Linked DNA regions of Lepisosteus oculatus. The protein of the gene in region 1 interacts with the protein of each later gene in a biochemical or structural test. Links are inferred from orthologs where the notes say so. Each region holds a gene or a part of one and is shown on either strand. Other genes may lie near its edges. The genes, in order: mafgb, nfe2l1b and nfe2.

What was found.
Region 2: the proteins of mafgb (region 1) and nfe2l1b form a complex in vitro, tested with the Homo sapiens proteins (2 studies listed by BioGRID and IntAct, with this or other methods). The link is inferred for Lepisosteus oculatus from reciprocal best matches to the Homo sapiens genes MAFG and NFE2L1.
Region 3: the proteins of mafgb (region 1) and nfe2 form a complex in vitro, tested with the Homo sapiens proteins (2 studies listed by BioGRID and IntAct, with this or other methods). The link is inferred for Lepisosteus oculatus from reciprocal best matches to the Homo sapiens genes MAFG and NFE2.

What each region holds. Positions count from the first base shown.
Region 1 is NC_090704.1:40,951,652-40,955,585, forward strand, and holds the start of mafgb (v-maf avian musculoaponeurotic fibrosarcoma oncogene homolog Gb), read right to left. Parts: upstream 3,095-3,934; 5' UTR 2,557-3,094; coding exon 2,380-2,556; intron 1,967-2,379; exon of another isoform or gene 1,869-1,966; intron 1-1,868. UniProt on the Homo sapiens protein: Since they lack a putative transactivation domain, the small Mafs behave as transcriptional repressors when they dimerize among themselves.
Region 2 is NC_090723.1:8,971,725-8,975,658, forward strand, and holds the start of nfe2l1b (endoplasmic reticulum membrane sensor NFE2L1b), read left to right. Parts: upstream 1-1,168; 5' UTR 1,169-1,257; intron 1,258-1,340; exon of another isoform or gene 1,341-1,463; intron 1,464-1,676; exon of another isoform or gene 1,677-1,843; intron 1,844-1,849; exon of another isoform or gene 1,850-2,262; intron 2,263-3,194; exon of another isoform or gene 3,195-3,295; intron 3,296-3,934.
Region 3 is NC_090696.1:19,490,990-19,494,923, reverse strand, and holds the start of nfe2 (transcription factor NF-E2 45 kDa subunit), read left to right. Parts: upstream 1-1,208; 5' UTR 1,209-1,595; intron 1,596-3,934. UniProt on the Homo sapiens protein: Component of the NF-E2 complex essential for regulating erythroid and megakaryocytic maturation and differentiation. Binds to the hypersensitive site 2 (HS2) of the beta-globin control region (LCR).

The DNA.
Region 1 (3,934 bases):
GTACGGCTCGTCTTGCTCACAAGGGGAAGGTGAGGAGGGGCAGGTGAACTCAACGGCACAGAAGTTACTTCAAACTGGCCGAGCTGGCACACATAAGGAATGACTATTTTTGGAGTGATTGTTCCCTGGTGTTCCAAGACAGACCTAGAGACAGCTTGTAAACACACTGATTTGAAGTAGAACAAGGCCAAAAACAGTAATTACAGACCACCAGTATTGACTTTAATAGACAGCACTACACTCCCACAGAGGTCTGGTATAATCCTCTAGTATGAGGGTGTCTGGAGCTTCTGACTGCATCTAGATAAGATTGTGAGACGCTCGATGTCATAAATATCAGCCTATGCCTCCACTAAACACAGACTTTTAGCCACTTGGCAATCCAGACTCCCCAGATTTTTACATCTCAAACTTTCTGTGCGGAAAGACAAAAAGGTGTTCATTTACTCCGCCGTCCCGTATTGGGGGGGAAAAAAGCGAAGAATGACCAGATCACAGCAAATTCAGCATTGCATCCAGTGACAGTAAAGGCACATTTCATCCTTCAGCCATACTTCAAAATATTTGTCTGGGAAATCGATTGTGATTCGCCCACTTCTGACTGTTATCACCTGCTGAAAATAACTAGCAAAGCCTTTCTCATATAAAGCACAACATCCATTTCGCAACAGCTTTACAGATCAAAACCGTTAAAAACAGTTTGAGTGCCACCTTTAAAGAGAAAGGCGTTATCCTAAACTGTGAACTTTAGTCAAACATCTAGTGTTTCTGACAAGGCTTTCTGACATTGACAGTCATAACGGGACAGGTAAAAATGCCTCCCACTGGATATGCTCAGCTATTCAACAATTCTCCCAGGTGTTGGGGTAAGGCATAGAAACCACAATCCAGCACAATAATCGAGGAACACTTCGGCCATGATGGAAATCAGTCAAAATTCATCCGATTCTCTGACCTGAGTCACAAGCTGGCCATCTAAAAAAAAAGGAGACGTACCACACCGATCTACTAACAGCAAGCGTAACCTGTTTCACTTCTCATTAAGGTTCACCGCTGAGTGACTTCAAAATAAGAAGCAGGAAATATTCTCATACGGAGAAAAGGAAAGTGTGTGTGTGTGTTTTACATAACACCACACAGATACATGCATTGCCCTTTTGTGATTTACAGCACAACCCCACAACAGTTCGACCTGAAGTGGGGAAAAAAATCCAAATACCACCAAGAAGTTTATTGTTCATTTCGTGGTCGTGACGGCCCTGCGGGTTTCGGGATTAACATGGCCCCTTTCGGACCCGTCTGCTGGCCCTGTGGCATCGTCGCACATCTCCCTAAACCGGCAGCAAATAAAAATCACCGATCCTTATCGCCGAGCCCAGACCTCTGTCCGCAGGTCCATGTCAGCAGTGCCTGTCCAGTGCCGCCTGCTCAGCCTCAAAATTCAACGTTGTGATGAATCAGCACATACGGTACTTTCTGAGCCGATTTCGAAATCGAAAACAAGCCTTTAGTATTTTTATAGTTTTAAAAAATAATAATAATAATAAGATAACGGTCACACGGTGTGAGAAGACGACTTGAAACACGGGCTCCGACCTACACCGTTCTCTCAAATTCTCATCCACGGTGTAAGATTACAACAATTTCTTTGTTAGTGAAACGTTTGTTCTTGATCACCCCGATACAATGAAGCGATACACCTTTTACTGTAGCGAAGACATTTTTTTCCCCCCCTTAACTGAAGGAGCGCTTTCTGCTCGCAAGAATCACATTTTTCGAGACGGGCAGAACGAGTTGGCGCTGCGAGCCGACTCGTCTCGGCGGCCAGCGGCACCAGGCGACGCTACGGCAGCCGATGCTGAGCTCACCTTACCTTCCCAGAAAGCCGGCCAGCCTGACCTCTCTCTCCGCCTTACCACAGCGCCGTCGCCCCGGCTTTCGCCCGTTTTTCAGCACGGCCCCCGTTCTGATGAAACAGCAGGTTTGTCCAGCTCAGATGCATTACACATTTCTCGGCAACACGCTCCACGCCGCTGTCTGCCAGTGTGACTGACAGGGGCTCGGCGCCAGCTCTCGCCCAGCGAGGTCCCAGACCAAGGGGACTCCCCGGTAAAACCGAGATTTTACAACCACCTTATCCTTTTGTTAAAAACCCTGTGCCTGCACGGTTCTGACCGCACTCGCCGTGCATGCCTAATGACCCAATCGTGATGAATCAGCATGTCTGGCCCTTTAATGCACTCTCTCTCACACACACACACATCGACATGCACACACCACAGATCTACAGGCAAAGCAAAGGCGTGCACACTCAGCAAAATAACACATCTCTTTCAAATGTGCCGTCCGCGATCGAAGTAAACCCGCCATCGGACTCACCAAACTCAAGGGAGACCCTCTTCCCCACCGCCGGAGGTCTGATATCGGAGTATTTGGAAGTGAGGCGCCTCTATTTCTGGGTAATTTGTAAAATTTACTCCCTCGCCTTCTCCTTGTTGATCCCTTTCTCTTGTGCCGGAGCCAGACGTCATATGATGTTTGGTCACGTGGTTTCATTCATGAAGGATCTACGCAACTGGCAAAAAGGCTTAAAGGGACCGAGGCCACATATTTTCCAAAAAGCACATTCTTCCACACCTCCCGAAACTCGCTCTTTAAAGGGACAGCCGGCTCCCCAAACCCGTATCCCCCCTCCAAAAAAACAAAAACAAAAACAAAACAACGGACTAACTAGCAGCTGTGGCTTTCGAGACAAGCTGGTGTGTTTTGGCGAATTTGGAATCACCCTGCGCCGCTTTTTTTTTTACATATAGTAAGACAGGTCGAAAAAGCAAATATATATGTATAGGTGGGGTAGCCTCAAGAAAGTTTATCTTTTAAAAGTTACATTGTTCCCAGATTATAACTGACCGTTATCCTGATGTGCGTTACAAGACACTGCGCAGTACGTGCGATGTGGTGACTTTCCGGAGTAAAGCATTCCTCAGAGCAGTACGCAAGGGAAAGTCTGAAGAGAAATGCGCAGCAAATGGCAAAACAAAATATTTAACATTCCGCCAGTTTTAGCGGGGTACTAAACGCCGCTGGTGGGGGGGGGCTCTTCTCTCGCAAGTGTAACAGTGGGAAACGCAACAGAAGTGTGTCCAGCGAGCCAGTGGTTGGCCGGGGGCAGATGTGAACGCGGCTCTGCCGAACAGGGGGGCTCGAAACGGGACAGCCCACCTGCAAAGCATTTTCGAAGAGGACTGTCGGAACCTGAGCTCCTTTTTCGGCTCTGTGGTTTGATGGGATCTGCGCACCATAAGCAGAAACATTACAGCACTTCCCAGGAATGTCTTAAAGAGGCAAGCGCAGAACAATAGGCTGCCGTTCCGAGGCGCCGGGATCTCGGATCCCTGTTCGGGAATGCCGGCGCATGTTCTCGTCAGTCTATCAAAACAAATTGCCCTTTTTATCTTTCAATGGAGGCCGTGCATGTCCTACCCTTCCCACCTTTTTTTGTGTGTGTGTGATTTCTGGACCACTGTCAAGCGCAACAATTTGTTTTCTTAAAAAAAACATTTCACAATCATGTCTGTTATCACATGTGGTTTTCATTTTGCGGAGCTGCGCATACACTGGCAAATCACTTGCACAATGTACACGTAGGCAGGGCAGTTTAATGTTAAAGTCTGCGTGACCTCTCTGCTTTTAATAGGTTCGAGACACGTAAATCCGGGCAATCTAGAAAATTTATCGTAGGATATAATATCTGTCTTTAAAAAAGTGAACTACGACACACATTTCTCTTTGGGTCCACACACAAAGCGAAAGCAGATGACTTGTATAATATCCTCATTCTTCTCTTAACTAGTTTTGTTGGAGGGGGAGGGCGGCAGGAGTGGATGTAGGCTTCAATGCAATGACTTAAATTTAGGGATCATTTGGGGGACCG
Region 2 (3,934 bases), on another chromosome or scaffold:
GAGGAAACCGGAGCACCCAGAGATGCACACGAACACAGGGAGAGCATGCAAACTCCACTCAGACAGCTGCCCGGGCCTGGAACTGACACCAGGGCCCCAGCGCTGTGAGGCAGCAATGCTGACCCTTTCACAATATGATCATACACTAAATATGTTTGAAGTGATACTGTTGAAAAAGAAGATAGGTCTCACATTGAGAGTGTATCTCCCCTTGCCTGCCAACCAATATGAAACAGCATTCAGGTTCAGCATGTTTACCTAAAGGAAAATTAAAATGTGTTAGATAAGATAAGATAAGATCACTTTATTAGCCATATACAATTTCTTGCATTAGGAAGTCATCTTTTCACAGACCCCAGCTTGCTCTCCATGAGACACAGACAGGGAGAGAAGCTTGGGGTCAGAGGTCAGCAGGGTCAGCTATTTATACAGCACCCCTGGAGCAGTTGGGGTTAAGCCTCCTTTGTGCAAACATTAGGATACGTTTCCCATCTCCAAAGGGGACTCAGGCCAAATGACAAAAGGTGACATAGTAACTCATATTTTCCATGAGTATATGTTATCTTTTTTAAATTTTCTTCTTCAAAATTTATTTGATTATTCCAAGCAACGTCAAGAACATATTTACCCAGGAGAATAACAATGAAGTCACTGTTAGCTACAATTAACTAATAAACAAAATGACTGTTAGAGGCTGTAAATCTTTTTAATCCGCATTAAACAACGGATTTCTCCCTGTGAGGGCTGGCGTGCCTGTGGGTTTGCATTGTAACTCCGCTCTTAAGGAACTAAACCATCTGGCATAACTGGATCAGCTTCTCCCAGCTCTTCAAGTACAATTACTTCAAAGAGACCTGGAAAACCTGCGCATCCACCCATCCTCCAGAAACACGACCTGGACGACCCTGTCAACTTACAAATCACACAGCTACTCCAAGAGGCGGGACGAACACATTGGACTTCCGGTATTGCGTCATTCCCTGACGCACAATATGAATATTCAGCACGAGGCGGGGGCGGCAAACGTCATCTGCAGCGCGCCTGGAATATTCTACGCATGCGCCTTGGGAAAAACGTGCAGCTGTAGTAGCAGAACATTTTTTGCAAGTCACGATGGGCCTGAGTAGTAGACGGCGAGACAAATATCAACATTAGCCGACATTAAATAGGAAAGGAAATACGTCTACGAGCGGATAGCGAATTCAAGGACTCGGTTTTGTATCTTGCCAGAGCACGGACTGTCAAAATCAACACACTGTAAGTATCGGAGGTTTTGACGCAAAAGATTTACAATTCAGTTACCACTCCTAAATGGTGAAGGAAAAGCCTGTGTTAGTTACCGTGTTGGTGTTCAGGAAATTGTCAAGTGTTGGGTTCGCTTTTCTCATCTAAAGAAGGGTTTTAGACAAAATGCTTGAAGCCAAATGTATTGCTTTGTGTTTGTAACAGACAGCTAAAGAAAATAACTCACTCCTATTGCCTCCCTCTACTTCCCTCTCCCATAACCACAGCGGCCTGCCCCCATCCAATCTCCATTGGCCGGTCAGAGGGAGAGTCCGGCGCGTGGGCTTCTTTCTTGGATTTCAATTGGCTGTCTGGGGTGTCAGTCACCATGGCACCACTTGTTGCTAAGCGTTGTTGCCGAGGTAGCGATAGCGGAAGTCTGCCGGCTGGGCACTTCCTGGTTTGTGTTGGTGTTTGCGACGAGGGCGGCCACGCTCGTATTTTTGTCAGTTTCGAGTACGGGACGGCTGGTGGGGAGGGTTATTTAGGAGGAGGAGGGGGGCACAGGGAAGAAGGAAAGTAACGGAGCTGGTAACGTCACTTTGGGAGGGGAAGACATGTAAGAGAAACCTTATAAATTTTCGTTCTCGCATTTTTCACCTTCATTACAACCTCGGTAACTTTATGACACAAGCCAGACGGGACGGGACAGTTGCGGAATCAGCCGACTGGAGACGGGGTTTCGTTTTTTCGAAAGGCCAGAGAGACCTTTCGAAATAATATTACATTATTGGCCATTTTTTAAAGGTTGATCGACTAATATCTAGCTTTTCAGAAACTGTTATTGAACAGACATTTGAAATTGGGATCTACCTCGTTGAGCAAAAGCACTCCATCCCTCGGATCTTGTGACCGATATTGCTGGTTTCTTCGTTTTTCTGTTTTGGTGCAAGAAGAGCTTTGTATGGCCACTGCCTTTCCTGGGAAAGCAAAGAAGGATTTATTTCCAGTTGCAAAACTTAAAAAGACCTTAAGAAGGTATTCATGAGTCCGTGCGGATGAAGAGTGGTCAGCTGTCTTTGCTGTGGAGGAAGTCCAGTTATTGCTTTTTAATAATTTCCTTTCAGTTATTGTTAATAACATCCACGGATTGGGTTCGATTCTTGAACATTTCATCCCTCATGAGCAAGCGGGTGTCGATAAATGTTTTTTGTTTCCTTGTCAAAATATAAAAGCTAGATGACGCACTGGCAGTATTGATAGTCTTGCCCATTCGGTGCAGTGGCTTAACGGTGAATACATTTAGTAAAAGCTAATACCGATTTTAGCTGAAAATGTTAAATTGTGTAGTATGAGCCCCAGAAATGTTTGAATGTATGACTTAAATTCGTAGGCATATCTAGTGAATGATTGAAATTCACGGACATGGACATGAATTCTTAATATTACAAAATACATCTTGGTACAGTAGATGAGCACGTGTCTGTTATATACTAATCCGATTACGAAAGTTAACGAAATAGAAAGTAATCTACATTTCTAGCTCAGGCATTGGAGACGAGCTTGGTGAAGTGAAACTCTGGGCTTTTAACAAGTTCTAGAAGTTTTATCTGCGACCCGAGGCGACGCGAATCGTGTGAAGCGTCGGCTTGGTTCTGTCTGAGCGTGGAGCCGTCACGGGTGGGGTGCGGGGTAGTCAGGTGCTCCCAGAATAAGAGACCGATTTGAGATGTGACAGTGTGACAAACGTTTCATGTATCATGCTTGGCTTGCGAGAGTAAGTAGGACAACCCTGGCGTTGACAATCGGTTTATCGTGGTGTTTGCTCTTTAAATACTCGCGTGGTCTACAGTCAGCTGATCGCTAGTAAATATGCATCCCCCACCCAGGCCGTGTCACGTTAACAATCGTTTGTGTACCCCGCGGTCCCGACAGGTTGTGTAGGCTAAGTGCAGTTAGAGGGGGGCTGGGCTGGGTGCCGGCGGGAGAAGGCCGGCTATTTCCCGGGAAACGGGCGGATTACATCACCCCGCCAGTTCAACCGCCGCCGCGTCTCCAGCACTTTGACAAAGTAGGTCAGCGCACCGCTGCTCTGAGCCGGCGTGGGAATCGGACTCGAGAGGAAACTGTTGCCCTTTCGTTTAGAAGGACTATTCCTTTGCTCATGGAGGGAACTTCACAAACACGTGCCTTTGCATAGGTTTGCGAGTGAAAAGGGTGGGACATGAAAAGCGTTTCAGTCATTTCTTTTTAAAATTGCAACCCCTCAGTGGTAGTTGGGGCTGGGAGGAGGAGGGGGAGTTAGTTTCTAAGCGCAGTTGCGAAATGAAGACCTGACCCCGCGGACACTCGTGTTTTTGGCAGTGTAACCCGACGCCTCGCGGCCCGGTGTCCAGTGCAACGTGCCTGCCCGGGGGGCTGTTTTGTTGTCTAGTCCGCCGTTGCCCGTGGCAACAGGAGCCTCCTGTGGCCGAGCTGCTGTTGCACCTCAAATGAACGTTTAATTCTATCGATTAAAAAAAACAAAAAAAAAGAGCGGCTTGCGGGTTTGCTGGGTCTTGTTAAGGGGCTAATCTGCCTCACTGGGGAGCTCTTGACCTGCCCGCTGGGAGAAGACTCCAGATCCACGGCAGGGGTTCCCAAGCCTGTCCCTGTGTGACCCACACGCCTGTTGGGTTTTGTTCCAGCCAAGCCCTCGATTACACAATCC
Region 3 (3,934 bases), on another chromosome or scaffold:
AGAAGGGCCTGGTGGTCACTAGAGGGCGCTGCCGCTCTCTGGCCTGCGTGGGACAGCCCCCAATCCCGCGGTGGGGTTACTGGGTAAGGTCTGATGGCTGCTGTGTCTGAAACGCACTCCGCTCCCCCTCCCCTCCCCCCCTGCACCCGTCCCCGGCCAGCCGGCCAGAGGAACAAAGCGGTCTTTCTTACCTGCTTGAGGTGTGCATTCCAACCCCGCTGGCAGAAGTCACAATCTGCTGCCCCCACCCCGCCCCGCCGCCACACACACGGCTCTCAACCCCCGCCGGCTGTCTTTAACTCTTTACCTGCCAGGTGGGGCGCTCTGACGGATTGGCCCTGCTCGTCAGTGCAGGCAGCCCAGCGCTCCCACCTGGGCCCAGACCTGGAGCCTGAACCCCCCTGCGGCCAGCAGGCCCGACGACAGAACTGCAGGCGGGCGGTTTCGGCCCGTCCAGCTCCCTTCATCGGGTTCAGCTGATCAGATGGCGTATCGCTGGAATGCGCGTGTATGTGTGCCTGCGTGTAGGCGTGTACACGTGTTTGCATGTTTGTGTGTGTGCATGTGTACGTACATGTGTGTGCTTGTGTATGTGCATGGGGGTGCATGGTGATGTGCGTGGGGGTGCACATGCGTGCGTCTGTGTCCTGGGTGAGGCCTGGCTTCGTCTGACTGCCAGACTGAGAATTCGGGGGGTCTGCGATAAGACAAGAGGGGAAGAGATAATAAAGAGGAGTTGAGATGAAAATGGGATGTTGTGTGTGTGTGTGTATTGGCAGGGTGGGGGGGGGGTCTCAGAAAGGCACCCCACTCGCCAAACCCCCTCAAAGGGCCACCCTCCACAAACCCCCCCCCCGCCCCGGATCTGGGATCTGGGACGCCCCGGTGCCGAGGGGCCGTCCTGTGGCCGGTGGAACATCTGCTCTGCAAAGGCCGAGCGGCTGAGTGGATTTCCCTGCAGTGGCTGCGCTCTCCTCACCACAGCAGGGGCGGGAGTGGAGGGGCCGGCCAGGCGAGGGGGTGGAGAGGTGGGATAAGGGAGGGGGTAGAGTTTGGGAAGGCTGGGCGGGGGGTGCTGATGGCTTTATTTCTCAGTTTGTGGTATTTCTCTCTTTCTCTGGAGATAAAGAGAAGAGCCGGGCTGGTTGGAGGGGAGGTTGGATGGGAGGGGTGTGTGTGTGGTGGGGGGGGGGGGCGGTGAGTTAGGAAATAAGAGAGAGAGGGTGGGTGTGTGTGTGTGAGCGAGCGCATGTGTATGTGTGTGTCAGTGTGTCTGTGCGCTGCAGGAAAGGTTGTTACATCGGAGACCCATCCCAGTTATGTAAGATCAGCCAGCGGGGACAGGCGGTGTGGCTTTCTGAGTTTGTCAAGCGGGGAGCGCGCACGCACTCACACACACGGGGGAGAGAGAGAGAGGAACCGGCGCGGCCGCCGGGGACATGTAACGGCCACCGCCAGGAGCCGGCCAGCCCACGGAGCCACAGGAGTCTCCCCCATCCCCTCTCTCCCAGCTCCCGGGACTATCACCCCCCGCCTGAAGGGTGTCATCCTTGGCCCACCTGTCCGAACCCCAGCCTCCCGGACATGCAGCTCAGGTAAGATCCGCGGCGCCGCGGCCGGCTGAGGCCCGACCTCCGCACCTGCCCGCCGTCCGTCCCGGCCGCGGTCCGAGGGACAGGACTGCTGACGGACCCTGCCTCTGCGAGCTGGGCAGAGGCCAGAGGGTCCAGAGCTCTGTGATACTGGCGCTCGTGTGTCCAGTGCAGGAGGGCCTGTGTACAGGATGGCCGCAGAACGAGATGTGGGTCCGCGGACATGCTGGGTGCAGAATGCAGAACTGTAGGAGAAAAGACGCAGAAAAACTTCAGTACTGAGGATCAGGATGATGGTGACGATGATGGAGCTGGCAATCTCAAAGCTCTGCTAAGGAATTATTGCAGTTTTGTGTAGCTTTCAGCGCCAGAACGGTTTTTCCCAGCAGTCCGGAAAAGAAAGGATACATTGTTTTTTAAAACTCAAAAATACATTAAAATGTCTTCAGATTTTTTTTTTTAACAAGGCGTCTAAGGTTGCTACCAAGATACAGCCTATTGTATTATTGTAAATGTTTCTTCCAAAAACTGCTCCAGATAATAACGCCGCTAAGTTTAGACTTACTAGTCTGCATCCTTTTTGGCAGAAGGCAAAAAACAATTCGTTTTCAGACTCGCGTAGAGAAGAAAAGGGATAAATGCCGGCACTCGAGTGGGGTCTGTGGGTTTTCAGGAGGCGCTGAGGCTGGCTGGTGGAGGCAGTAGTGGATTTTCATTGGCTGTTGGAGAAAAAGGTGTTAATGAAATTAGAACACTTGGCGTACCTGGACCTGCCTCTTGATTAAAAGGAATGTGTAGCTCCGTGTTTTGTAAAGGGCACCTGTTGCTGGGTCTCTGGGCTGACAGGACTCCCCCATGAGAGAGACAGCCCACCAGTTTCTCTGGCCTTTAACGTACTTAATGAGCTTGTAGAATACAGTGTTTTGAGGCTGATGACTCGGAGAGCACAGCCACTCTCTCTAACAGTGAGCCGCCTGTCTGGATATACATGGACTACTGCTGTGTAAGTAATGTATTTTTACACAGCCTTTCACAGCTGCAGTCTGCTGGATCGGGTCTCTGCTGAGTGTATTTTGTTCTGTCTTACTGATTGACTCTAAATCAGCCATAGTCACCAGTGCTACCCCTGTCTGTTTTATAGAATTATTCTTACAATTCAGGATATTGTCACAGGCGAATTCTGTGTGCAAACACAGTTTCACTCAATGTGTGAGCAAAAATATCTGACTCGCAGACACTAAAGAGGGTAGCAGAACTCACATGCCGGGATTCAGTCAAACTGACAAGATGTATAGTCGAAGAAACGCATGATCTATTGAGTGTATGGTGCAGAGTCAGACTAATTGCATCAAATTATCTAGAAAGAGAGCATATAACTTCACAGAGAGCAATCAAACTTAGGACCTAAAAAACTCTGTAACGGGGAATTCATGCATTATGCATGCATTGCAATATGAATCTACTGTAAATGATGGAATGAAAATCCACGGTGTCTCTCAGCTGAATCTTCTTTTAAAACGGGACAGGTGTGTTTGTACTTCCTAACAGGTGTTCTCACGCCTGTTGCTCTGCTGCCTTTAGGAAGATAGCCGCTCAGTTTTCCTCAAACCCTGCTGCAGGCTGTGTCTGCGAGCCCTGTGGTCTAATTTTTGTACCTTATTACATGAGGGGATGTTACCGTGTGACCTGTGGCGTTAACTGGCGTACAGCTGTAGATTATGAACGTACCCTGTTCATATTTCACAGTCCACTGAATGCGCTTTGTGATGAATCAATGCGTTGGCTAGATGAATTACTGTTGATATATATCTGAATATTCTGGTATACCCACCTATACAGGATGCTTATCAAAAACGTCAGCGGTAGATTTGTGTCATAATTGCGCACTCCTGGGGGGTTTTCCACTTGACTGTGTCACACGCTCTCCCGGGGCTCTGCCTCTAGACTGGGGAAGTCCGCCTTTCCTCCGGGGGCACGCCGGTCCCCTGGCTGAGCACGGGCTGGTGAGCACTGCGGCCGAGGCCGCCTCATCCGCCCCCCACATGGGGGCCAGCCAGGGCCGCAGTCCAGCCCTTCGGTACCGCGGCCCGTCTGACCCTGTCTGCACTTCCGAGGGCTCTTACACATTTTCAGCTCCTCGGCTGGAAAATAATCGGATTTTTTAAAATGGTGCCTCGGGCCTCGGTGCCGGTATCCGGTATAAAGAGCCCGGATGGGTCCAACCACGAAGAGAGCCGAAGTCGCGAGTACAAGTGTTGAGTCGGCCCGGTGACGTCCAGGTCGGACCCTTAGGTCACGTTCCGGCAATAAAACGGGCCGGATTAGCGCAGAGTGCCCTGCGC